Astyanax mexicanus: one gene and its partners. The main gene of each other region encodes a partner of the protein of the gene in region 2 in a complex. Links are inferred from orthologs where the notes say so. Each region holds a gene or a part of one and is shown on either strand. Other genes may lie near its edges.

Region 1 (7,459 bases), on a different chromosome or scaffold from region 2:
TGAAAATGTAAAAGCCTGAAATGTTATCAATCACAAAAATAAACTGAATAAATCTAACTGTATAAAATAATAAACATTAAAATTCCATTCAGAAAAAGCCACAGAATGAGCTTAATGAAATATCCACTCACAACTCGTGTTTCCTATCTGCTTCGAGTACAATTAGACTGTTGACGGAGTGTCCTCATACAGTACACTGTGATACCGTCTCATCACATGAACTCAGGTTTATGAGGTGCTCTGATCTGACCTGATGCTACTATATCATAACTAATAATTTAAGATCATATTTGGGTGATATATGGTGAGAATTAGTAGGTATCACTTTCCCAAAACAGGAATAATATTGATTGAACTTTGTCACACACCAATGTAATAAATGGCTTATCAGGCATCAAGAAAAATATCCTTTAATATTTAAACACTGAAGCTTTGAACAGTGATGATCTTTTTTGTCTTTACATGGAAACTGGAATATAACATAATGTCACAGCCATTTCAAAAACACCAAATATTTTTTAATAACCACTTTTATGTGTCCTTTGTACACATTTTATGATGAATGGACCAATATATAAATCCACAATGATCTATATGAAGTTCATTACATTAAAGTACTGTAAATGACAATTAGATATTTGTATTGTTCCCTTTTTGCCATCTTAGAGATTAAACAGAGGCGCCATACATATAGATACACAGTCGATTATTAAACATAAACTATTTTTATGAACTGAAGCCAACAAACATTTACAATCATTACATACCTTTCCAGAGCTCTTGGCTTTCTTGTAGATGACCTTATACTGCAGGTCATCTTTAAAGATGTCCCGAATGGTCATTCTCTGTTTCTGCTCATTTAAAACAGCTGTTGGGGTGTCTTTTACGTAGAGGGTTATTTTCCGCTGATCCTCGTTCACTGTTATCTTAAATTCAGGGCTGCCGATGATGGCTAAAAAAGAGGAAGGAGCAAAGATATACAATAAATTTTGTGCAAACAGGATTAGAATTAGAAATTTGTAAATATGAGTCGTAATGCTCTGCTGTGGATGTGTTTATTGTTGCTGTGAGGCAAAAAGATTGTATCTTTATAACATATTTCTGTATATTTTTGCCGTTTTTGACTTTCTGTTATAATATGAATCTAGTAGTTATTCTTTACAATGTATAACAATTTTAAAAGCATGCCAAAAGACCCAATAAAAATGTCAATTTCCTGTGAAGCTGCCACTTTGTAAAGATAAGGTCTGGCATGACAGCGACAGGATGATGCTTTACATTTCACAAATAACATAATGTGTGGCTTTGATTAAACTGATTTAAACTGAGTTAAATTGTAATTGGATTCATTATAAAAAATACAATAATTACAAAATATGTGACATCAAAATTCAAACTAATTATTAAACAGAGATATGAGTGTATGAAATAAAAAAAGGTTTTACAGAAACCTACTGTCTTGGTAAGGAATGAACCAGGCAGATGTTGTGTGCGGGGGCTCAATGAGGTCAGGGGGGTTTAACCCCCGCACTGGTTCTGACAGCACATCAGCATTGTAGCGACCCTTCAGCTCTTTGAGATCAGCAGTTAGATCACATTCGGTATCGCTGGTCTGAATACAGAGAGGGTTCCTCTCCCTGTTTTCGTTCTGTCTGGAACCAAGTTACAAAAGAATTTAGGACTGAAATCCAGTAATCCATTAAACTAAAGTCTTACAGTGATTACAGCAAGCTGAAACAAGCAAAGGGTGTGGAATTTTCCAACAAAGCACAAATGTCAGATTGAATAAATCACAAAGCCTAATCTCAGCCTTTGAGTTTTGGTAAATAAACTGATTATTTTAATGAATTAGTCAAAATCATAAGTCATGTCAGACCGTAACTGTGAAAAAATTCATTCACAAATTTCATGTTTTAAATAAACCGGGCCGTCAACAGGTTCAGGACTTCATTCATAATTCCCTATTCCTTCACACAGTTTGAATTGTTTTCATGTAGTTACTGAATAATAATCATTAGGATTATTAAGTAGTAAGCAGTGGAATATAAGTTTCAATACCAAATGCAGAAGAGAATATGGGCTCACAAATAACAGGTTGTTTAAGAAAACAGGTAAAATTGTAGACAACTTTCCCTGTAAGTCACAATACTTACATTATCGACTTACTGTATGAAATATACACGAATTACCTAATTTTTAACAATTTTTTGCTGACTTTGATTCTGCTCATTATATTTTATTTGTAGAGAGAATCTATTAATAAATTAGCCAGTATGTTAACTAGTAAAACAGTGGATATTCAAGGTTTTCAATATATATATAAGGTATTCAATATATATATATATATATATATATATATATATATATATATATATATATATATATATATATATTTAAAAGTATATATAATTAAATGTTTATTGCTTTTTAAATTGGTATAATTGTGTTATTATGCTGTTGTGTCATCATGTCATAAATCATTATATAAAATCCAATAATAATAATAACAACCATAATAATAATAATAATAATAATAATAATAATAATAATAATAATAATAATAAGCATTGTGCTAAAAGTTATTAACTAATACATGAGAAATAAATTGAAATAAATAGAAGTTTTACTTACTTGGAGAATTCTACAGTGTATGAATAGTTTACAGGCTTGGGACCCCAAGTTAATAAGGTCTTAAAGTTCAAAGAATACCAGGAGACATTCTGGGCTTTAGGAAAAGTGCCTGCCCAAAAAAAGTAAACAGGAAAAGGAAAGATTTAATTAAGACTGTAGGCAACAGAACTGGAAATCACGGAAAGGATATAAAATAGATTAAATAAAAGATAAAATAAAACCGGAGCTAAGCAGCCTCACCTGAAACAAACTCCTTTCCCAAGACCAGCAGCCACACACACAGCAGGCTGAAGGGTTTAGTGTGCATCGTGCTCTTTATTGTGAATTCTCCCAGAGGAAAACTCAACTTAACTCCAAGCCTGTAAAATGTTCAGCTGCTCCCGAGGCTGAGGTGACCCCGCTGCGTCCAGGTGAAACTGAGCTCCTGTAGACTGGTCCCGTGTGATTTATACAGCCCGGGAGAATTGGGCTAAGTGCGGTAAAAATCCCTCAGACACGGAGCCAGCGCAGATTAGCACTCCTCACAGCTCCAGCGGGTCCCCTCCTCTTATTCACTCTCTCTCACACTGACTGAACCACACTAATGACCATATATGGTGATCCGCCCTGACTGACTGCAGGGAAACTTACGGGATTTCTGAGGTATTCTAATGTTCACAACCACTGTGTTTATAAATGTGAAGAATAATTAAGATATCCATTAATAATAATCATGAGAAAAATCATTATCATAATTAACTGAGGCACCACATTTGATAGGACCCTTAGAACATTAATCAAAACCAGGGCTTTGAGTAATGTTCTTAGGGTCCTAACAAAATGTTACAAAATGAAACAAAAACATAACTCAAAATTCAGCAACTAGAGTGTTTTACCTGAATTAACACCACGTATTATGTAAACAGTTGTAGAGAAGAATAAATGCATTAAAAAGTAACATTAATAATTTTTTAAAGAAAGTCGTTCATAGAAAGTAGTTTCAGATTTCTCCTGGATGCTTCTATCCACTGTGTGGATGTATGTGTCCAGTTCCATCTCCAGCTCACCTGATTTAATATCATTGAGCACTATTTAACCAACCCAGCTGTTGATATGATGAAAACTATGAATGATATTAGACTCATTTTTAACAAAGGATCTCTTAAAAATGCATTTTTTTTTTACAAATGGCTAAAACAGTTGATCTGAAACATTTTCCATATATCTAGTGCTGGATTTCTGCACACAGGCAGCTGACGTTTACAAAATATTTGATTAGTTAATGACTGTAAAAATGTAGCTAGAAAACTAGTGCTTAGATTCTGTTTTGTCCGAAAGCAGTGGTTCTCAAACTTTTTAGATCACGTACCACCTACAAGCCTTTATACAGGAACACATGTACCACACACATGCTTATGTATAGAAATCTAGATGTGTAACACACACATATACATGTCATATCTTTTGCCAATTGTTTTTCACCTGTTGTGAGGAACTTGCCCACCTATGCAGTCTGTGAGTTGTTTATTGTTTCTGGTTAATACAATACGCTTTTCCTACTGAGACATCTCAGAAGAATTTAGACAAGGGAAAACAACGAGTGCAGAGCAGTGAAATACAGTGTTTACCACCTAATTTAGCCATAAACTCTAATGCAGAAACTGTTGGTGTCTGTTGGTTGTGTAGCATATCTTGTGGAATTCCACAGGGTTACACTTTAGGGCCAATAAAACTAATATAGATAGTTACAAAAATGGTGTAAACAGTGTGGGACAGTGATAACCCAGATAAGAGCAGGTTGTGGGTAGAGGTTGTGGGTTTGACACCTGGTTTTGTCGGGCTGCCACTGTTGGACCCTTGAGCGAGGCCCTTAATGCTCCTCAGATGCCTCAGTAATGGTTGTCAGACACTCTGGGTTCATGTGCTTACAATATCACAATGTGTATTTTCTGCAGTGTGCATGTAAATGTGTTCACTGCAGGGATGGGTTAAATGTGTCTGTCAGAACAAGCACCTCAAACCACCTTTATTTACTTTACAGTGCAGTCTAAAAGATGAGAAGGGTGTGACTTCCTCCCCTGGATACCCAGTGTGATGTAAGTGTGATTCAACAGTAAAAGATGAACAGTAAAATATGATGTGATTTACATTTCCCTGAAACTACAGTCCCGGAGCTCAGCTTTGTTCGCCAATGAGATGAACTAAAGATTGTATCATCCAAGCTGCTATGAAAGAGTCAGCATGCACTGCTGATGATTAATTATTAATAATACATTTAGAAATAATTTATTAATGATTTGCATAATCTACATGGTTGAACAATTTATTTAAAACTGATTACTAATGTTTTAGGGAGTGTTTAGGAAAGAGTAAAATGTGCCTATTGCTGTTTATCTGGGTATAAACTATAAACTACTATACTATTTGTCCAAAACTGTGTCCTATTCACTGTCCCCTAGATGCAAAAACCAGATCACTACATAAAGGACTATTATAGGGAACAGAATTCCACAAGTTTGTGAACAATTTCAGGCATGTCATTATGTGCGTGAACTCATTCCCAGATAACATGCCCACATATGGATGTCAGTAATGGGCCCCATCAGGGTCAGTGATTGGACCAATAGGGGTTCAAAATGGGCCCCATATGGGGCGTAGATTAAGGTGGGCTGTAATGATGGGGCTCATTTTGGAAACTCAGCTAGATTCCATCAACAAAATACTGTATGCTGTATGTATTCCAACTCACTTAGAGACCATGCTCACCTAAAACCCACCTAGATTGTGTTTCACTTATCTGAGCCCCACATGAGAATGCTGGCTGGGTTGCTGTGTGACAACATTTTGCATCATATCAACCGCAGTGCTTCTCCTGAGAGAGGTGATGAAATAATTCAGAGAAGTTCTGCTTCGGTACATTGTACACTGTGGTTATTTTTAAAATGTAAAAAATGCTGCTTACTCAGGCAGAATTCTGAGACATGAAGGAACCCAGTCATGAGTAAATCAAATTCAGTAATCTAAGTCTCACATTTTAGTGACTGAAAATGATATAAAATAATGACAACGCAGCTAAATGACATCATTATCTTGCAGTGAACTGTCCATACTGTAGTAATGTCAGCATGTACGGTCCCCTTTTAATTCATGTACAGAGACAGTCAGATTTATCATCACTACACTGCCTTCTAAGTGAGACAGTGTGGGCAGCAAGGCCTCAAATCAACATTTCTTGCATTTCAGACACAGCTTATATCTTATATTAGATATAATGTTTTCAGACAGTGCTAAAAAAAGAGTAAAAAAACCCAAAGTAGTGCACTATTTTCACGCTGGCCAGACACACGCAGAAACACACAGTTTATTAATAAAGGGATAGTCAGCGACAGGCAGGGTCATTAACAAAATGGAAGCAATAGTAAACAACATACCAGGGAGAGAGCAGGCAAAAGGGGTAGGCTACAATAAACAGAAAGTACTAGAGCAAGAAGAGTAAAAAGTAAAAAAAAAATACAAAAAAGGGTTATTAGCAAAAGAGCAATAAACTAAAGAAACACAATGTAGAAGATATAGAAACTAGATTTAATACCAGGCGAGGAGCTACTGAAAACGTGGGGTATATATACTAACAGGACCAGGTGTGCGTAATCAGAAGCTTGGTGAGTTAGAGGGTCTGATGTGGGTGCGTGCTGGGAGTTGGAGTCTTTAGTGTGTGTATCAGAGTTCATGGCCGGCAGACTGACAACGTCAAGACTGACAACTATATAGAGAATAAGGCAGACGTGGCATAAATAAGAAGTGTAGTACTGATTTTTTTATTTTTCAATCTGCGTTTTAAACTCTATTATATTTTTGAACTATTTCACTATTTTAAAGCTCCTAGCTTTCCAGTAGATGAAAGGATTTGGTATACGTTTAACAAATATTTAGTGCATTCCATTGTCCTACACAATAGTATAACTACTGGTCAACAGTGTGATATGAAAATATATCTAAAAGCAAACAATTTAAAATGTATTTTTTATTAGTGAAACAACTATTAAACTCGAATAATATATTTTGTGTTTTTTAAGCAAAATAGGAGCTTTATAGTAGCTGAGTTTTTTTTGGTTTATTATTTTAGTTTCCGGACATTTTGGGGGCCCCTAGCAAAATGTATGGATAATGCATTATGATTGCCAAAGTTTCATATTTTGCCAGCTGCAGGAATCATGAACCTGGCAGGCTGGCTACTATCAGTAACTAGTGGGAGGAGCCCCCTTGAGGGGAGGTGTCATTGTACTTTCCTGCTTTGACCATCACAGTATTTAAAGGGGTGCTCACACAGTTTGTTTTTATGCATTCAGTTCATTACCAGTTGTTGTCTGGAGGCCCTAGGGGCAGCTCGGGGGTGTAGGCAATTGATTGGTTTGCTTGTCCTGCTGCAACGGGTCTGCATGCCAGGCACCACAAGGGGCAATACCCCCTCATCTAGTGTGTTCTTATCCAATAAGTTTGCATTCCTGTTTTTCCCTGTAACACAGTGGCCTAAAACTAAAGTTTCAGTGAAAATAAAGCAAATGATAAATGGGCAGAATTTTAAACTTTACTACACTAACATTTGATGGTGATGTCTAGCCTGAGAAAGGTTTACTTTTTGATCCTTTAATGGTTTTTCTTGCTTTCTTCATATCCGTCATTCATAGGCCTTCTATCCAAATTGTGGGTCAGCTGGCTGGTTTATCATCTCATCTCTTCTATTAGTTGTTATGTGTTTGTTTTTTTAATTGATAGGCATTAGACTTCATTTAGAATTCTGCATTCTGGTGCATTTTAGTGTGATACAGTGATTTCAGCCCAAATCCTATAT
Region 2 (7,797 bases):
ATGTTTAAGTAAAATGAACATTGTTGTTTTATTCTATAAACTACAGACAACATTTCTCCCAAATTCCAAATAAAAAATATTCTCATTTAGAGCATTTATTTGCAGAAAATGAGAAATGGCTGAAATAACAAAAAGATGCAGAGCTTTCAGACCTCAAATAATGCAAAGAAAACAAGTTCATATTCATAAAATTTCAGAAAAAGTTCAGAAATCAATATTTGGTGGAATAACCCTGGTCTTACTTACTGGTCTTAACCCAGTCTTACTTACTGCTTTTGTATAACTTAACTTTAGCAGTTCAGCTTGGTTTGATGGCTTATGATCATCCATCTTCCTCTTGATTAAATATTTCAGAGGTTTTTAATTTGGTAAAATTTGGTAAAAAAAAACTCATTATTTTTAAGTGGTCTCTCCTTTTTCAGAGCTGTATATTACTTATAATAAATGATCACAATCTAGTAAAAAAATAAAACATGTTGCATGTAACTTGTACGTCATGTGCAGTAGTCTCACCTTGGGTCAGGCAGGCTTGACCATCTGTCCCAAGGAAGTACCCGTCTGTACAGGAACAGAAGCGCTCACCATTGTTCTCCTCACAGAAATGCTCACACCCTCCATTGTTGTGGAGACAGGAGTCAGGAATGTCTTTTATTACTGTTAAAAAAACATGGACAACATTGACAGATTTAACTTAAATCCTAGACTTTCATCTTTATGAAAATCAACACCATAATACAAATGTAACTTATTATTATGTGTTATATAACTCATCTTTTGACATTTTCTAAAAGCTAGAAGCTTACTAATATTAGGTAAATCAACAGCTTCAGCAATATCAATATTTATCGATGACCAGCAAAAAAGCAATACATTTAATGCAATGAAAGGTTAAGTTAGCAACTTTTTAAAAACTGTGTTAAAATAGGTTAAGTAAACTTAACCTGTGCTGTGCAAGGGTTTTGGGAATTATAGACAGATATAAAACATGATGTTAGCTTCAAAGAATGATTTGGCTCACCACTATTATCTAATTATTAATGTATTAATGGTATTCTGTTGTCTCAGACATAAAAAGGAAAATAAATCGTCCAAGTTAAGCATGGATCATTCATGAAACAAAAGGCTCGCAACTACCATTTTATTCACAATATTTTGAAGGAGGGCCAATTACCCCAGCCATTCTTTAGGACCCCCCTATCGTTACACTGAATTCCAGAGAGAGCAAATGCCCCACCCCCACCCAACACATAGACTTTTTTGTGAATTGGTTTGCTTAAGGTGAGAATGTGATCTGGACTCGATTTGACCCAGCTATCAACTATACTTCTTTTTATTTGAGCTTAACTGCTGATAAGGCGGAGTTTAATCTGATATATCAACCAGATAATATACTGGTATAAACAAACAATGTATTTGCTGATTCATGCTGTTTACATGTGTGGTCTGTGCTGCGTTCACTGCCCGCATTGCACCATTATATACTACATAATAATAGTTGATTGGTTTCATATTAATTCTTACAAAAAGAGCTTTCGCAGAATCTTCTTCATAAATAGGCTAATAATTAGTTTAATAATAGACAGTTAGGTACAGTAGTTTGTTTCCTTGGTGAAGGAGACAGAAGAAATCTGGATTAAGTGATGATCTTACCACGCTCACAGTTACGTCCACTGAAACCTGGTGCACACAAGCATGTATAGGACTCCTTTAACAGGTAACAAGTGCTGTTGTTTTCACATGGATTCGACTGACAGTGGTCTTTAACTGTTAAAAGAATAAAAAAGCTCAAGATCAGTAACAATAAGTGGTACATGGTAATTAAAGAAGTGTCAGTGACAGAACATCTTACCGTTGTAAATTTTCCAGAATTCATTCTGTTGTAAAAAAAAAAAAAAAAAAAGAAATTAACTATATCAACAGTTTGATTACAGCTATGTTGATTACCATGTATCAATAAAAGTCTATTTGTCAGTTTATGTCAGTATGTCAATATTTATTATAAAACTATACATAAATGCTAGGCTTTTAGAACATATATAGACATGTTGCTGAAGCTGGCGACCCAACAAGTTCCATAAATGTTCGAGTGTCAATAGTTCTGTTAACCAAGCCGGCCAAGAAAACGTTGCAATTTTGCAAAAACCCATTCTGTATGTGTGTTACCATAGTCCTGCTAAAAATGCCAATGTTGGAAAGTCCTGCCATAAGAAGCAAGACATGTGTCTTTAGGATGTTTTTCACATAACGTTTAGCTGTTAATATTCTTTGTATCAATACAAGGGGTGACTGACTGTCACATGCAGAGACTCCTCAGATCATCACACCAACAGTTAGGGCAATGTGTCACTTTAATAGTAAGAAGAGTGTGTGACCTATAGGGTGAATAATCAGTAGAATCACCTGTTTTTTCTCAGTCCAGTGATATGTTCCCTCTCAAAATCTTTCAACTTGGAAAAAATTGAGTGTGTCATAATGGACTCTTTAGCAGTCAGTGATCTCTCACCAAGAGGTACACTACCCAAAAGCTGCCTCTCATATCCTTTTAGCACTTTCATACAGTGTCTAAGACATAACTGTATGTCAAGTTTTGCATCAAGCTGGGGTGTTATTTTTTGTCAATGTCAGTGAATTTAAAGGTATAATTTTTTTGTATCAGATTCTGTGATATTTAACGATTCATTGTGCTGTTATTAGAGATGAGAAAAACTGCTCCACTATAATTCATGTGAAAATAAAAAATATATATATTTTGTAATGTCCATATCTCATGATACTGACCGTGGCTTCAGTGTGTTCAAACACCTCTCTGGCCTCTTCATAAGAGCACTTCTCCTCTAAGCATTCCCTTTCAAGGTTGCCAACCTTCAGTTCCTCAAACCAGCCAGAGTTTGCTCGCTTGGTCCTGGTGAGGACTCCATGGGCTTCATTCCGCCCTACAAACACTATGAAGTAACCAAGTATATTTACACAGGTGTGGGACCCCAGCACAAAGCATTCATCACAACAATTAATTCAATATATATATATATATATATACATGCCCACTAAGCAATCATTCATTTTCATATATTCATGCATGTATTTTACCTGAAGCAGTGTAGCAGCAGCATAATAGGCTGAGTATCAGAGACAGCAGAGATAGCAGCTGCATGGTGGATGATGGCTGGCGTCCTGATCTTTCTGCTCCTCACAGCTGAAGGGTCCAAAGTCTGGGAACTGTGCAATCAGGAAAGGCTAAAAACCTTCCCCAAAGATCCAATAATATAATTTTGAGGCTGGGAAAAAGAATCAATAATACTGCAGATAACTCTTTAAAAAAACTAAAACAAACCTTACTTATACAATTAAATCTTATATTTTATTATTGGTACAATTGTACAATTGTATAGTACATATAACAGATTTTGATGTAATACATGCTATTGATACAGAAACATACATATACTCTTTAAAAGTTTCTATATTTCTACATAGAATTGACCTAAAATGTAATCAGATTGTTAGACAAGCAAATCAACCAAATAAGACAAAATGATCAGAATCGATCATTCATTTATTAAGGAAAATAATCCAATATTACAAATCTGTGAGTGGCAAAAAGTGTGTGGTTATTAGAGTGAAATTAAAGTCAAGGTTTCAATCAATATCAAGATGACAATCAGATGTAAATGGGCATAGCCATGTTTTATTTGAAAAGCAGGTGTCAATCAAATGCACAATCTTCTCCACAACAGATGTTTGTGAAAATGTATCCTGTCACAAACACAGGAGATTTCTGAGGCTTGGAAAAGCAAAAAAAAAAACACAAATCCAAAAATCACACCCAGTGTCTGCAAGACCACAGGGACACTTTTATGTAACCGAAGGCCTTTCTCTTATTGGCTAATGTTAAAGATCACATGGACACGTTTTGTGGGCAAAATAGAGCCTGTTCTGCTGCATCTGTGTCAGCAAACCAGTCAGAAAATCAAGACTCAAGAGAAGGTGAGTTATGCAGCGTGACAAAAACCCAGTTGCACACCAGTTGTTCTACCAAAGAATGGTTAAAGAACAAAAATGAAAATAACAATGTTATACTGAGGAATGGACTATAATTTCTTTTAGCTCATGTTTAAGACTACCAGAAACGGTTGGTTGCAGTTATTACTGCACAAGGGTGCCACACAAGATACTGAAAGCAGTGCATTAAATATTTTTTTCACCCACAGATATGTGATATTGGATTGTGTTCCTTAATAAATAAATGTCCAAGTCTAACATTTTTGTCTCATTTTTTTATTTGGTTTTCCTCATCGACTTTAAAGGAGAACTCCAGTGTGAAACGGACTTTGAGTTTATTAAAACTTAATAAAAACAGAATAGTTGAATAGCTTTCTGAGATCCAGTGTCTTGTGCACTTTGCCCAAACAGGCTTTAGAATGAGTGAGAAGGGGCATGTCTTCCACTGTCATCCAGGCTCAAAGTAGCTCCACACTTCATTGGTGAAATCTGGAGAGACCTGACTTTTAAAACGAGGTATTTATAGCTTTATAACTTCGCAAGAAGTTTATTAAAAGCCATTGTTTACATCCCATATCGTAGATAAATCTCCAGGTGCCGCCATCTTAAATTTAATTTAACCATCGATCACAAATAGTAAAACATTTTGAGCAATGTTTATGTAATTTGTTGTTGGTTCTTTGCATTCTAATATTGACAGTAACCAGATATTTTCAGCAACAGCTGTAATTCATGCATTTCCAGGGAATTCATTTGCAGTTATGTAATCTGCTCAACTATCCTACCTATTTGGTCGTGCTTAACGGTTGACATTTCGTGACTTAAATTTAAGATGATGGTGCAGGGGGATTCACCTAAGCTATGGGATGTAAACAGTGGCTTTTAATAAACTTCTTGTGCAGTTTTAAAGTTTTAAATGCCTTGTTTTAAATGTCAGGGCTCTCTGGATTCTACCAGTGAAATGTGAAGCTACTTTGAGCCTCAATAACAGTGTTAAAGGAGATTTATCTGCAGGGGCCAAATATGCCCCGTCTCACTCATTCTAAAGCCTTTTTGGGCAAAGTGCAGAAAAAATACTGGATTTCAGAAAGCTGTGGGAGAGCAGAGGTTGGCTATTCAACACAGGTAAGTACTTCTTTATCATGTCTTAATACACCCATAGTCCATTTCACACCGGAGTTCTCCTTTAAGGAATTGTGTTAAAATACAGAAACTTCTCAAGGTTTTACAAACTCAAGTAACACTTTGTATATATAAGCATATATGCATTCTTTCATAGAATGCTAATTAAACATTTTTAATATTTATAATTTTGTAAGATATTTGAAGATGTTCCTTCATTCATTCATAGCCATAGTTTTCATAATCCAGTCAACAAAGATGGAAACACGAGTGTAGATCCCATACATGTCTGAGCGAGCGCAGCCTTTACCCCAGCTCACTATGCCCGTCAGGAACCAGGTTTTATTGTACAGGGTAACAAGTGGTCCTCCGCTGTCCCCTTTACACGCATCCCGACCTCCTTCCTTAAACCCAGCACACAGCATGTTGTTGGTTAATGTGAGACCTGAGTGGGCTTGGCACTGCTCTAGGGGAACCTTTGGCACTTCCAACCTCTGAAGCACAGTGGACGAAGGTCCGAACTGAGACAGCAGACCCCATCCACTCACAGTGGACATACGCACTGTTCCCAGGGTGCGAACAAATGTGCCATTGGATGGCGGGAGGCAGATGGGCACAATGTAGGGATTTAATGTTATGTTCCTGCGCAGGCGCAGCAGTGCTATGTCACTGTCAGTGGATGAGTGATTGTACAAAGGGTGGATGAAAACTTTAGACACTTGTCTAGTCTGCTCTGTGCCTTCCTTCTTGAAACGGATATGCTCGCCTGAAAGGGAGAAGGTAAACAAGAAAGAAATTAAAAGAGCAATAAACTGCTGTATATTTATGCATTTCAGGCCTACAACACCTGGCACGTACACACAGACATCCCAAATTGCAAAAATTATTTTCAGGTAGGTACCCCCAGACCTGGACTTTCACACACGCAATTGGGTCGCCTCCGTGAACTTTTGTTTTCACTCTTGGGCCACTCATTCTAGATTCTGGGAGATTTTCTATGACTTGTGGGCATCAGGGAGGCGTTATTGATATACTTCCAGGAGACTTGGGATGTCTGTATATTGGAGATTTCTAAAGAGTTGATAAAACTGGAAAATGTTATAAAAATCTCTAAAGCTTATGGATAGAATAGACTCCAAAAGTCCAAAGATTGGGCCAAAAGTCTGCAAGGTCACAAACAGACCTCAGAGTAACTTCCAAGCAACTTAAGGCCTTTCTCACATTGGCTGTATGTGTAAAGCAAAGAAAGCACTGCATATAAGAGCAAAGAGCAATACATTGTGGAACAGTATATTTCAGGCCTACAACACATTTAAAAAATAAGTTGGCAATTTAAGGTTAGTAACAAGGTAAACACATTAATTGATTATGATTTAAAACAGGTAATGTCAGTAGGAGAGTGGGGAAGCCCCCCCCTTTGTTGTGGAGGATTTGTAAAGTTTTTTTTTTTTAGATTTACCATCGGGGTGCAGCGAGCTGACGTTAAAACATATCTGGATATACTGTGATTTTTCTAAAAGTAAGGTAACGGAGCTAACCATGTAAACTGTTTTGAGATAATTTCTGATAGCTAATTAAAAATAAACAAATCAAAACCCACAGATCAAACCCACTATGAGCTTGTGATTCTAGGATTCTAGGATTACTGTAAATTACAATGAAGGAAAAATCTTTTAGCTAGCTTAACCAGTTAGCTAGAAGCTGGATGTAGTGGATAGCCAGATTTCAGTACACTACTTTATGTTGGTAGTTTAAAGCAGTTTCTTATCCCTGATCACTGCCCTAAAATTGTGTGTTTTCACCGGATCCAGCGCATCAACTGTTAAACAATCATTTATTGAGTTTACCTGTTAAAATCCCTTAGCCCCTTAGATTTACTAATGGAATATATCTGGTCCTTAGGTAAAAGCTCATGAAACTAATAGACTAGGAGGGTTTAGGTTATCTAATGTTTATTTTAACTTCTGCCAAAAATCTCTATGAAACATAAGGTTACATTCTTTTACCTAAAAGACCACATCATAAGAAGTACTTTTAGTCGAAAAAAGGTGGCGTAAATATAAATATACAAATATACAACAGAATTGACATGCCAATACAATGTTGTTCTAAGACAACATAAGGTGGGCTTTGATTCATATAAGCAGATGTGTCCCCCCCAATATCAAACCCGCTCCAACGCCCTTGAGGACTGAGGATCTCTAGTTTGGTTTGTAACAAACCTGTGAGAAAAATGCTCCTCAAATAAATATAGCAAGGTGTTTTGAACCCCTGGTCAGACAGCTTTGCCATCAGCATGAATAGCAAAAAAGGATCATGAATTATCCATTTTTATCATGATCATCATGTTGGAACATTGACCTCAGTTGAAAATGGTAAACATTACTGTATTTTTAATACTGCCATATATATTGCAGAAAAAAATACAATTGCCAGTCCTGTTTATTATCAAATAAAAGTTGACCAGACAACATATGAAATATCCTGTGCTTCTTCTGTCTGCAATCAAATAAAAGTAAATGTAAAGGGGAAAAAACGTGTTTTTAAGATTCTGCAAACTGATCAATTTATATAAATCGAATTTGAATTAAAGTGGGTGGTTTTGATGGGTGAAGCAACATGGCTCTATGGCAGTTGGTGTTTTTTTCTCATTATTAATTCTTACCTTCTGTGACT
Region 3 (7,546 bases), about 3.3 Mb from region 2:
GCATTTAGGTTTGTGCTGTGCAAAAACAAACCAAACTAATGGAGAAAAACAAATCCAAGTACACAAAAGCTTCAAATGATTTGGGCCAGAAAAATAAACTACAGGTGTGAAAATCAAGTTGCTGATTGATTGCAGTAAATAGATGAAACTCACTTTTTCAGGTCATCTCTCATCAGGTCCCACCGTCCCAGTCCAGTGGGATAAATAGGCCACACTGCAGGACCTCCCTCCCAAAACGTCCACGCAGGGTACATGATATCCCGGTAGTCTGGTGTCTAAAAACATACAGGAAGACCAGAGAGTGTCAAAAACAATAAAGCCTCACACCAAATCCTAGAGCTGGTGTTCAAAATGTGCTTCTTTGGTTCTGTGCTGGAAATACTATGTTAATGGGGCTAAAACAGGAATTAAAAAGGCATACCAACGAGCACTATCAGTACTGTGTAAACCACAGGCCTAAATCATCATACTTTTGAATCAAATCAGAGGCAGGGTACCAGATCTTAAATGCAATTAGGATGAATATGCAAAACATTATAAAACAGTATTTTTTCCTCATGCATTACAATGTATAACAAGGTGATCTAAAGAAAATAAAAGTTTTAAGACACAATACCATTCAGGTTTGCATTTGTGTGTGTTATTTGTTGGCTGTGTGTGTGTGAAAATTGACGCACCTTGCTAAAGGACAGAACAGGCAGCAGCTGCTGAGACCATGCAGGCACCTGAGGGTAGTCCCGAACATTAATGACCATCTCCATATCAGGCAATCTGTCAATCACTTCCAGGATAAAATGCTCCACTCCACTGCACCTGTACACACACAGGACGAAGCCACTTTACTGTACTGTAAGGTGTATGTTAAACACAGGCAATATAAAGCCACACATACAGTACAGCACCGACCTTGCCGGGAACATGCAGTCCTGTTCTCGGTAGAGCTTGTGCCCGATAACCTGGTAGTGTGTTCCCACACCTCGCTGCACCGTGTTCAGCATTAGCTCCTTTGATATGCCATTTCTGAAAAGCTGCAGGTCGTCTTTCAGGACACTGGAACCAAGCAAGGAGAAAGAATTGACAAAGACAGACTTATTTAGTATCTCAGAAGACTGATAAAAGCTTAAGCCTTACATCTCTGAAGAAGAGCTCATGCTTCCCTTAAAAATACAAACTTGCCTTACATTTAAACAGCTGAGATTAGTACCTGGTGTGGCAGCTGCAGTTCTCTTGGCTGCATGGCTGAAACTTCTTGGCTGCTTCAGAGATCTTGTTCAGATATTTCTGCCATCTTGTGTCTACGGGTGGGCGATATGGCCCTAAAATAATATCACAATATTTCATGGTATTTTCACGATAACGATACTCTTGGCGATATGACAAAACACTTAAAAAAAAAACTATTTCAAAAATACACTATACACTGCAAGAAAAAAAATATTATTACATACAATATAATACTCCACACCCCTAAGTGAGAGATTAAAAAATACAAGAATTTAATCAGATTTGTAACACAAGTCAATGATCCAGAACGATACGATATGGCACACCCCTATCATGAACTAAATGTTTCAAACTAAATGTTCTAAAATAAAAGGTTTACAATTTAATAATATTTTACAATTAATCTATTGCAATAAAGACTGTGGTTGGAGGCTTACAATCAAACTCTGGTGTGAAATGGACTTTGGGGTGTAGTGAAACATTATAATGAGTACTAACTTTTGTTGAACAGCCCTCCTCTGTTCCCTCCCAGCATTCCATTTATGGAACTGAGGGAACAGATTGTTACATTGAGGGAATGAAAACATAGCAACATCAATGTTCGTTAGTGGATGGGACGCTGCCCACAGAATGCTGCCCACGGGACCCTGCCCTGCCCACAGGACCTACATATTTCTGCATGGTGACATGTTCTCAGTCCAGGAGTGAAACTGATGTGGTATTTAAAAACTTCAGCAGCAGCACTGTTGTGTCTCCAGCACAACCCTAGAGATGTATAGTAATAAAGTAGAACTACTTTACTACTTACCTTAGGTACTAAAATACTGTATCTGTACTTTACCACAGCATTATATTTTTCTCCTACTTCCACTTTAATTTCACTATTTTTTTTCCCATGAGTTTAATACTGTTATTGTCACAGGGTGTAATGAAGCTGCTCATCACTGAGTGTGAATCAAGCGATCAAGCTGATCGTATAAGACCATGCTGCTCTAGTTCTGCATTTCACTCTGAGAACTTTCCACTGCTTTCGTTAATAACTACAAATCACAATACTGTATGTTTACTTTCTGTACTTGAGTAGTATATTTTACTACTCAATAAACTACTTGCAATACTTAAGTACAAAATATTTGGAATACTTTAGTACTTCTACTTGTAGTGTGGAGCTTAAAGAACACTTTAACTCCTAAAGCACTAGAGTACTTTGACTCAAGCTAATTTTTGATAGAGCACTTTTACTTAATTCACCTATTTAGTAGATCTCTTGTATTACCTTGTAATACCTATTTAGTATTAAAGTACTAGAGTAGTTTCTTAAGTCACTTATTTGATAGAGCACTTGTACTTTTACTCAAGTCACTTATATGATGGAGCACTTTTACCCAATTCACTTATTTATTAGAGCACTTAAATATTTTATCGCCACTTTTTTTTGACAGAGCACTAGAGTACTTTTTCAAGTCACTTATTTGATAGAGCACTTTTACTCAAGTCACTTATTTAATAGAGCACTGTCAGTCATCACAGCTCTAGAGTGCTTTTTACTTTTTTTGATAGAGCACTTTTACTCGAGTCACTTTTTGATAGAGCACTTGTACTTTTACTTATAAAATGGATTATTGACCATTGAAGAACAGGGTGAAATGAGATAATGAAGCTAGTATACAGAGAAAAGATAAGTAAACAGTATGTGGCTACAGAACTACAAGGTGCCTCTTAATGTTCAATGGAGCTGAAACATTGGATAATAGTGTAGAAACAATACTTAGCTTCACAGGGGACCTTTACCTATCCCAGATTCGCATTTAAACAAGCTGTTAACTGACGGTATTTTAATTTCTGGCAAATTAAAGACTTTCAGACTAAAGTAACAGGAGTCTCAGGAGTCTGAGGCTAATGCTAACTGAAGTAACGGCAGGCAGCATGTAGGTATGTGAGTTAGGTAGCCTGGTTACAGAGAGTGAACGGGGTTTCCCGGCTGATTTATTCACTCAGGCCGGTTTTCCACCGCTGCTAAATGATTATAAAGCCTGTAATAAAGCGTTATAAAGCTCTTACCCTTCTGAGCAGCACTAAACTCCGCTCCACTCAGGAGAAAAACACAACACAGCGTTAAAATCCACCTCAGCTCCATCTTCTGTGCATCGTTTAGTCCTGCCTGGCCGGTAAACGTGCTCGCGTCTTCAACACTCAACTACTTCTGTCTGCCTGTGTTCCCATTTCAGCGTGCGAGGGCTCGGGCTGCGTCCCAAAGCGCACAAAGGCCCCACATGATATACTGGGAGTGTTTTAAAGGGCCAGACCAACAGATTCACCTCAGTTTGCCTCAATAGTAAAAAATATAAATAATAATGAAATAAAAACAGTAATTATATGGTTTTGATAAGCCATTACTGATAAGAGTAGATATTACAATTAGGAAATAACAATGTAAAATGGGCATAAAACCAATAAATCACACCAATATTATACCATTATTAGTGCTAATTACCTCATTTACCTCACTTCAATACTTTTAAATTTTTCAGTGAGAGAAATCTTGAGCAAGTGCAGTAAATTCCAGGTCAGTTTCTGAGGTAAATATGTGAAGGCCTGAGCCGTAAAATGCCCAGGTCTGGCTTTAGGTATATCTCACTTATTACAATGAGGCATGGTGAAACTACAAATTATAACTTTTAACAATAAATATAAATTATAATATATTCATATATACAGCTCTGGAAAAATGAGACCACTTAAAATGATGAGTTTCTTTGATTTTACCTAATTGAAAAAAACTCTGGAATATAATCAAGAGAAAGATGGATGATCACAAGCCATCAAACCAAGCTGAACTGCTTGAATTTTGCAACAGGAGTGGCATAAAGTTATCCAAAACCAGTGTGGAAGACTGGTGGAGGAGAACATGCCAATATGCATAAAAACTGTGATTATTCCACTAAATATTGATTTCTGATGAATATGAACTTGTTTTCTTTGCATTATCTAAGGTCTGAAAGCTCTGCATCTTTTTTTGTTATTTCAGCCATTTCTTATTTTCTGCAAATAAATGCTCTAAATTACAATGTTTATATTTGGAATTTGGGAGAAAGTTTGTCAGTAGTTTATAGAATAAAACAACAATGTTCATTTTAACCAAACATATACATATAAATAGCAAAATCAGAGAAACTGATTCAGAAACTGAAGTGGTCTCTTTAAGTTTTAATAGAGCTGTATAAGCATAGATAAAAATATCTCACACAAAAACACAGAGTGGAAGAATATAAACATCTACAAATGAACACATATCACTGTATACAATAAATAAAAAGATATAGAAGAGCAGTGCAATGAAAAACTTATTTTATAAAGCACTTGTATTTTACTCAGTTCTGGGTCTCATGAGCATGCTGGTCAGTGTTTCACATCTCTGATAATATAACACCTCATAAGTTACACATCTGTGGTTGTTTCCCAAGCCATCTTCTGCGGCCCATCATATGTATTGAAGTTTTGATCACACTATTGATCACAACTTATTAATGAAAAAGTTAGAGAGATATGGTATTAGGGGAATAGCATACTCATGGCTCAAAAGTTATCTTAATAATAGATACCAATATGTTCAAATAAATAATACCAAGTCAGATATGCTGAAGGTTAAATGTGGGGTGCCACAAGGCTCAGTTTTAGGACCAAAATTGTTTAATTTGTACATAAACGATATTTGTAAGGCATCTAAATTGTTAAACGTTGTCTTATTTGCTGATGATACCAATTTATATTGCTCTGGAGAAAACTTGGATATGCTTTTAAATACAGTAGAAAGAGAATTAAACATTTTAAAGAAGTGGTTTGATGTTAATAAGCTATCATTAAATTTAAGGAAAACAAAGTTTATGATCTTTGGCAATAGAAAAATAAAGAAGGAAGTAAAAATTATGATCAATGATATTAACATTGAAAGAGTGTATGAAAATAAATGTCTGGGTGTGATAATTGATCATAAATTATGTTGGAAACAGCACATAAACCACATAAAAACAAAACTGGCCAAAACCATTGCAATATTATATAAAACTAAACATATTTTGAATCAGAAGTCACTACTGTACTGTTCTTTTATGTTGCCTTATATGACCTATTGTGTGGAAATATGGGGAAACTCATATAAAACCAATACAAATCCAATTACCATACTACAGAAGAAAGCTATAAGACTTATTAACCAAGCAAAATACAACGAACCAACCAACAAATTATTTATTAAATTACATGCTTTAAAATTCTGTGATTTAGTTGACCTTAATATTGCACAGATAATGTACAAAGCACAAAATAAATTACTTCCAAATTGTATTCAGGGGAAGTTTAAAACTAAAGAGAACAACTATGAACTAAAGGGAATAGATATATTTAAAAGGAATAGAGCAAGGACAAATATAAAAAACAGATGTGTATTGGTCAGTGGAGTAAAGCTGTGGAATAACTATAACAAAGAATTAAGAATGTGTAGTTCCCTTTATAAATTTAAAATAATGTTTAAACACAGGGCTATAAACAAATATACAACTGCTAAATGAGCAGTCTATATATTGTAAACTTTCAAATGATTAATGATTTTTTTTTTTTTATCTTAATTTTCTCTTTTGTGTTTGGTGTTTTCTTTTTTTTTGTTTATTTGTTTTTTGTTTTATATTGTTTTGTGTCAATTCAATTTGTAATAAACACATATAGACATATGTGTGTATGTATGTATGTATGTACTGTATATACATATATGTATGTATATATAGATGTATATATGGATATATATATGTATTAGTTAGGTAAAAAAGGGTAGGCTAAATAAGCTAATAGCTTCAGCCTGTACCTTTTCGGTTGTTTAAAGAGATTGTTTAAATGCAAGATAGAGGATGTGATTTTTTTCTTTCTTTTTCTCTTTTCTTTAAGTTCTGTTCTTTATGTGTGTATATGTTTTGGCAAAAAACGAAATAAATAAAAAAAAATAAAAATAAATAAAAAGTTTGTAGCTAAGTTTGAAAGACCACTTGACACAATCTTCTTTTTCATTCTTCGTTTTCTGCGTGTCAAAGTGATTCCCAGTGGTGCTCCTACCCGTCCTCATTTTCATCAGCACATCATCTATATTTAGCCATGGAACAAGGGAGCATCTAAAATGGCCTTCAGACACAGGGGAATGGACTCACTTGTATTAGGCAGTAAGGCAAGTCTGTGGAAGTCGAATGTGTCCCAACATCCCTTATCATGCTCTGGAAGTGGGAGAGAAAGAGAATGAGAGAGAGATAGAAGTCTCTGGCTGACGAAACACAAGGACTTGTAGCTAAATCCCAGCTTTTCTAAGATTTCTTTCTTTTGTTCTATCTTTTCAAGGGGGTGGCCTGTCTCAGGGGAGCCATACTAGGCCTCTGGGATTCTGCACACAGGAAATCCTGTCTTCTTCGCCTTGTCTTCTTTCCCTGGACCTGCCGTTCTCCAGACTCGCCATGTTGCCTCTCTGGCTTCTCCTGTTCCCTAGCTTGAATCTTCTGTCTGGAAACTTAGCAGAGGAAGGCCTGGCGATCCCTAGCTTTGATGGCAAGGACCGTGTGCTGGACATCAATGAGAGGAACTACAAGAAGGCACTCAAGAAATATGACATGCTGTGCCTGCTGTACCACGAGCGCCTGTCATCTGACAGGGAGCTCCAGCAGCAGTTCCGAATGAGGGAGATGGTGCTGGAGGTAAGATGGAAGAGAGTTCTTGACATTTGGTATCAACAAACCTTGAATTGAGCGTGAAACAAGTATTTTTGGTGATTTAGAGTCTTGCATATTTATGGCAGTGTAGAGAGTTTTCTGTGGAAGTAGAATTCCTTGGTTTTGCTTATCTGGACAAGGACCTAGAGCTTACAGTTTCTGGACACTTGCTAATAGCCAAGGAAGTCTCAGAAATGTTGCCCTATGACAATGCTTACCACCCCCCATAGGACAAAATGCAGATGCTTTTTGTAGTCTGCTAGAAGTCTTTCTGTCTTTATATTGGGAATTTACATCTACGTCTTCTTGCAGAACACTTTTAATTATGTGCTATTCCTAAAAAGGTCATAGTCTTGTGAGGTTTTTCTACGTTCTGTGGCTTCTAGGACATAATGCAGATGCTTTTTGTAGTCAGCTAGAAGTCTTTCTGTCTTTATTTTGGGAATTTACACCTACGTCTTCTTGCAGAACACGTCTACTTATGTGCTATTCCTAAAACGTTCATGGTCTTGTGAGGTCTTCCACGTTCTGTGGCTTCTGTGACTTCTAGGACATAATGCAGATGCTTTGTAGCCAGC

Evidence for each region.
Region 1: the proteins of f7 (region 2) and f3a are in contact, whole or in part, in a crystal structure (PDB 6R2W), measured with the Homo sapiens proteins. The link is inferred for Astyanax mexicanus from reciprocal best matches to the Homo sapiens genes F7 and F3. Residues at the interface, in NP_000122.1 of Homo sapiens: Leu73, Lys78, Phe91, Arg96, Leu99, Phe100, Ser103, Ser120, Lys122, Gln124, Leu125, Ile129, Cys130, Phe131, Cys132, Leu133, Pro134, Phe136, Glu137, Gly138, Arg139, Lys145, Gln148, Ile150, Val152, Asn153, Glu154; in NP_001984.1 of Homo sapiens: Thr49, Asn50, Lys52, Ile54, Glu56, Trp77, Lys78, Ser79, Lys80, Phe82, Tyr83, Glu88, Asp90, Asp93, Gly141, Gln142, Thr144, Glu162, Arg163, Thr164, Leu165, Arg167, Phe172, Tyr188, Trp190, Lys191, Ser192, Ser194, Ser195, Gly196.
Region 3: the proteins of f7 (region 2) and poglut1 are in contact, whole or in part, in a crystal structure (PDB 5L0S), measured with the Homo sapiens proteins. The link is inferred for Astyanax mexicanus from reciprocal best matches to the Homo sapiens genes F7 and POGLUT1. Residues at the interface, in NP_000122.1 of Homo sapiens: Asp108, Gln109, Cys110, Ala111, Ser112, Ser113, Pro114, Cys115, Gln116, Asn117, Gly118, Gly119, Cys121, Gln126, Ser127, Tyr128, Arg139, Asn140; in NP_689518.1 of Homo sapiens: Met103, Phe104, Pro105, Ser106, Arg107, Arg132, Asp133, Pro171, Ala172, Trp174, Pro178, Thr179, Thr214, Asn239, Gln240, Ala241, Val274.

What each region holds. Positions count from the first base shown.
Region 1 is NC_064413.1:36,715,036-36,722,494, forward strand, and holds the start of f3a (coagulation factor IIIa), read right to left. Parts: upstream 3,169-7,459; 5' UTR 2,939-3,168; coding exon 2,872-2,938; intron 2,741-2,871; coding exon 2,632-2,740; intron 1,653-2,631; coding exon 1,456-1,652; intron 953-1,455; coding exon 768-952; intron 1-767. UniProt on the Homo sapiens protein: Initiates blood coagulation by forming a complex with circulating factor VII or VIIa. The [TF:VIIa] complex activates factors IX or X by specific limited proteolysis.
Region 2 is NC_064428.1:19,304,938-19,312,734, forward strand, and holds the start of f7 (coagulation factor VII), read right to left. Parts: upstream 3,197-7,797; 5' UTR 3,152-3,196; coding exon 3,088-3,151; intron 2,943-3,087; coding exon 2,779-2,942; intron 1,875-2,778; coding exon 1,850-1,874; intron 1,765-1,849; coding exon 1,651-1,764; intron 655-1,650; coding exon 514-654; intron 1-513. Other genes in the region: f7l (coagulation factor VII), read right to left, coding at 5,337-5,887, 7,787-7,797. UniProt on the Homo sapiens protein: Initiates the extrinsic pathway of blood coagulation. Serine protease that circulates in the blood in a zymogen form. Factor VII is converted to factor VIIa by factor Xa, factor XIIa, factor IXa, or thrombin by minor proteolysis.
Region 3 is NC_064428.1:22,564,791-22,572,336, forward strand, and holds the start of poglut1 (protein O-glucosyltransferase 1), read right to left. Parts: upstream 3,439-7,546; 5' UTR 3,362-3,438; coding exon 3,286-3,361; intron 1,317-3,285; coding exon 1,205-1,316; intron 1,051-1,204; coding exon 907-1,050; intron 814-906; coding exon 678-813; intron 276-677; coding exon 154-275; intron 1-153. Other genes in the region: calsequestrin-2, read left to right, coding at 6,717-6,953. UniProt on the Homo sapiens protein: Dual specificity glycosyltransferase that catalyzes the transfer of glucose and xylose from UDP-glucose and UDP-xylose, respectively, to a serine residue found in the consensus sequence of C-X-S-X-P-C.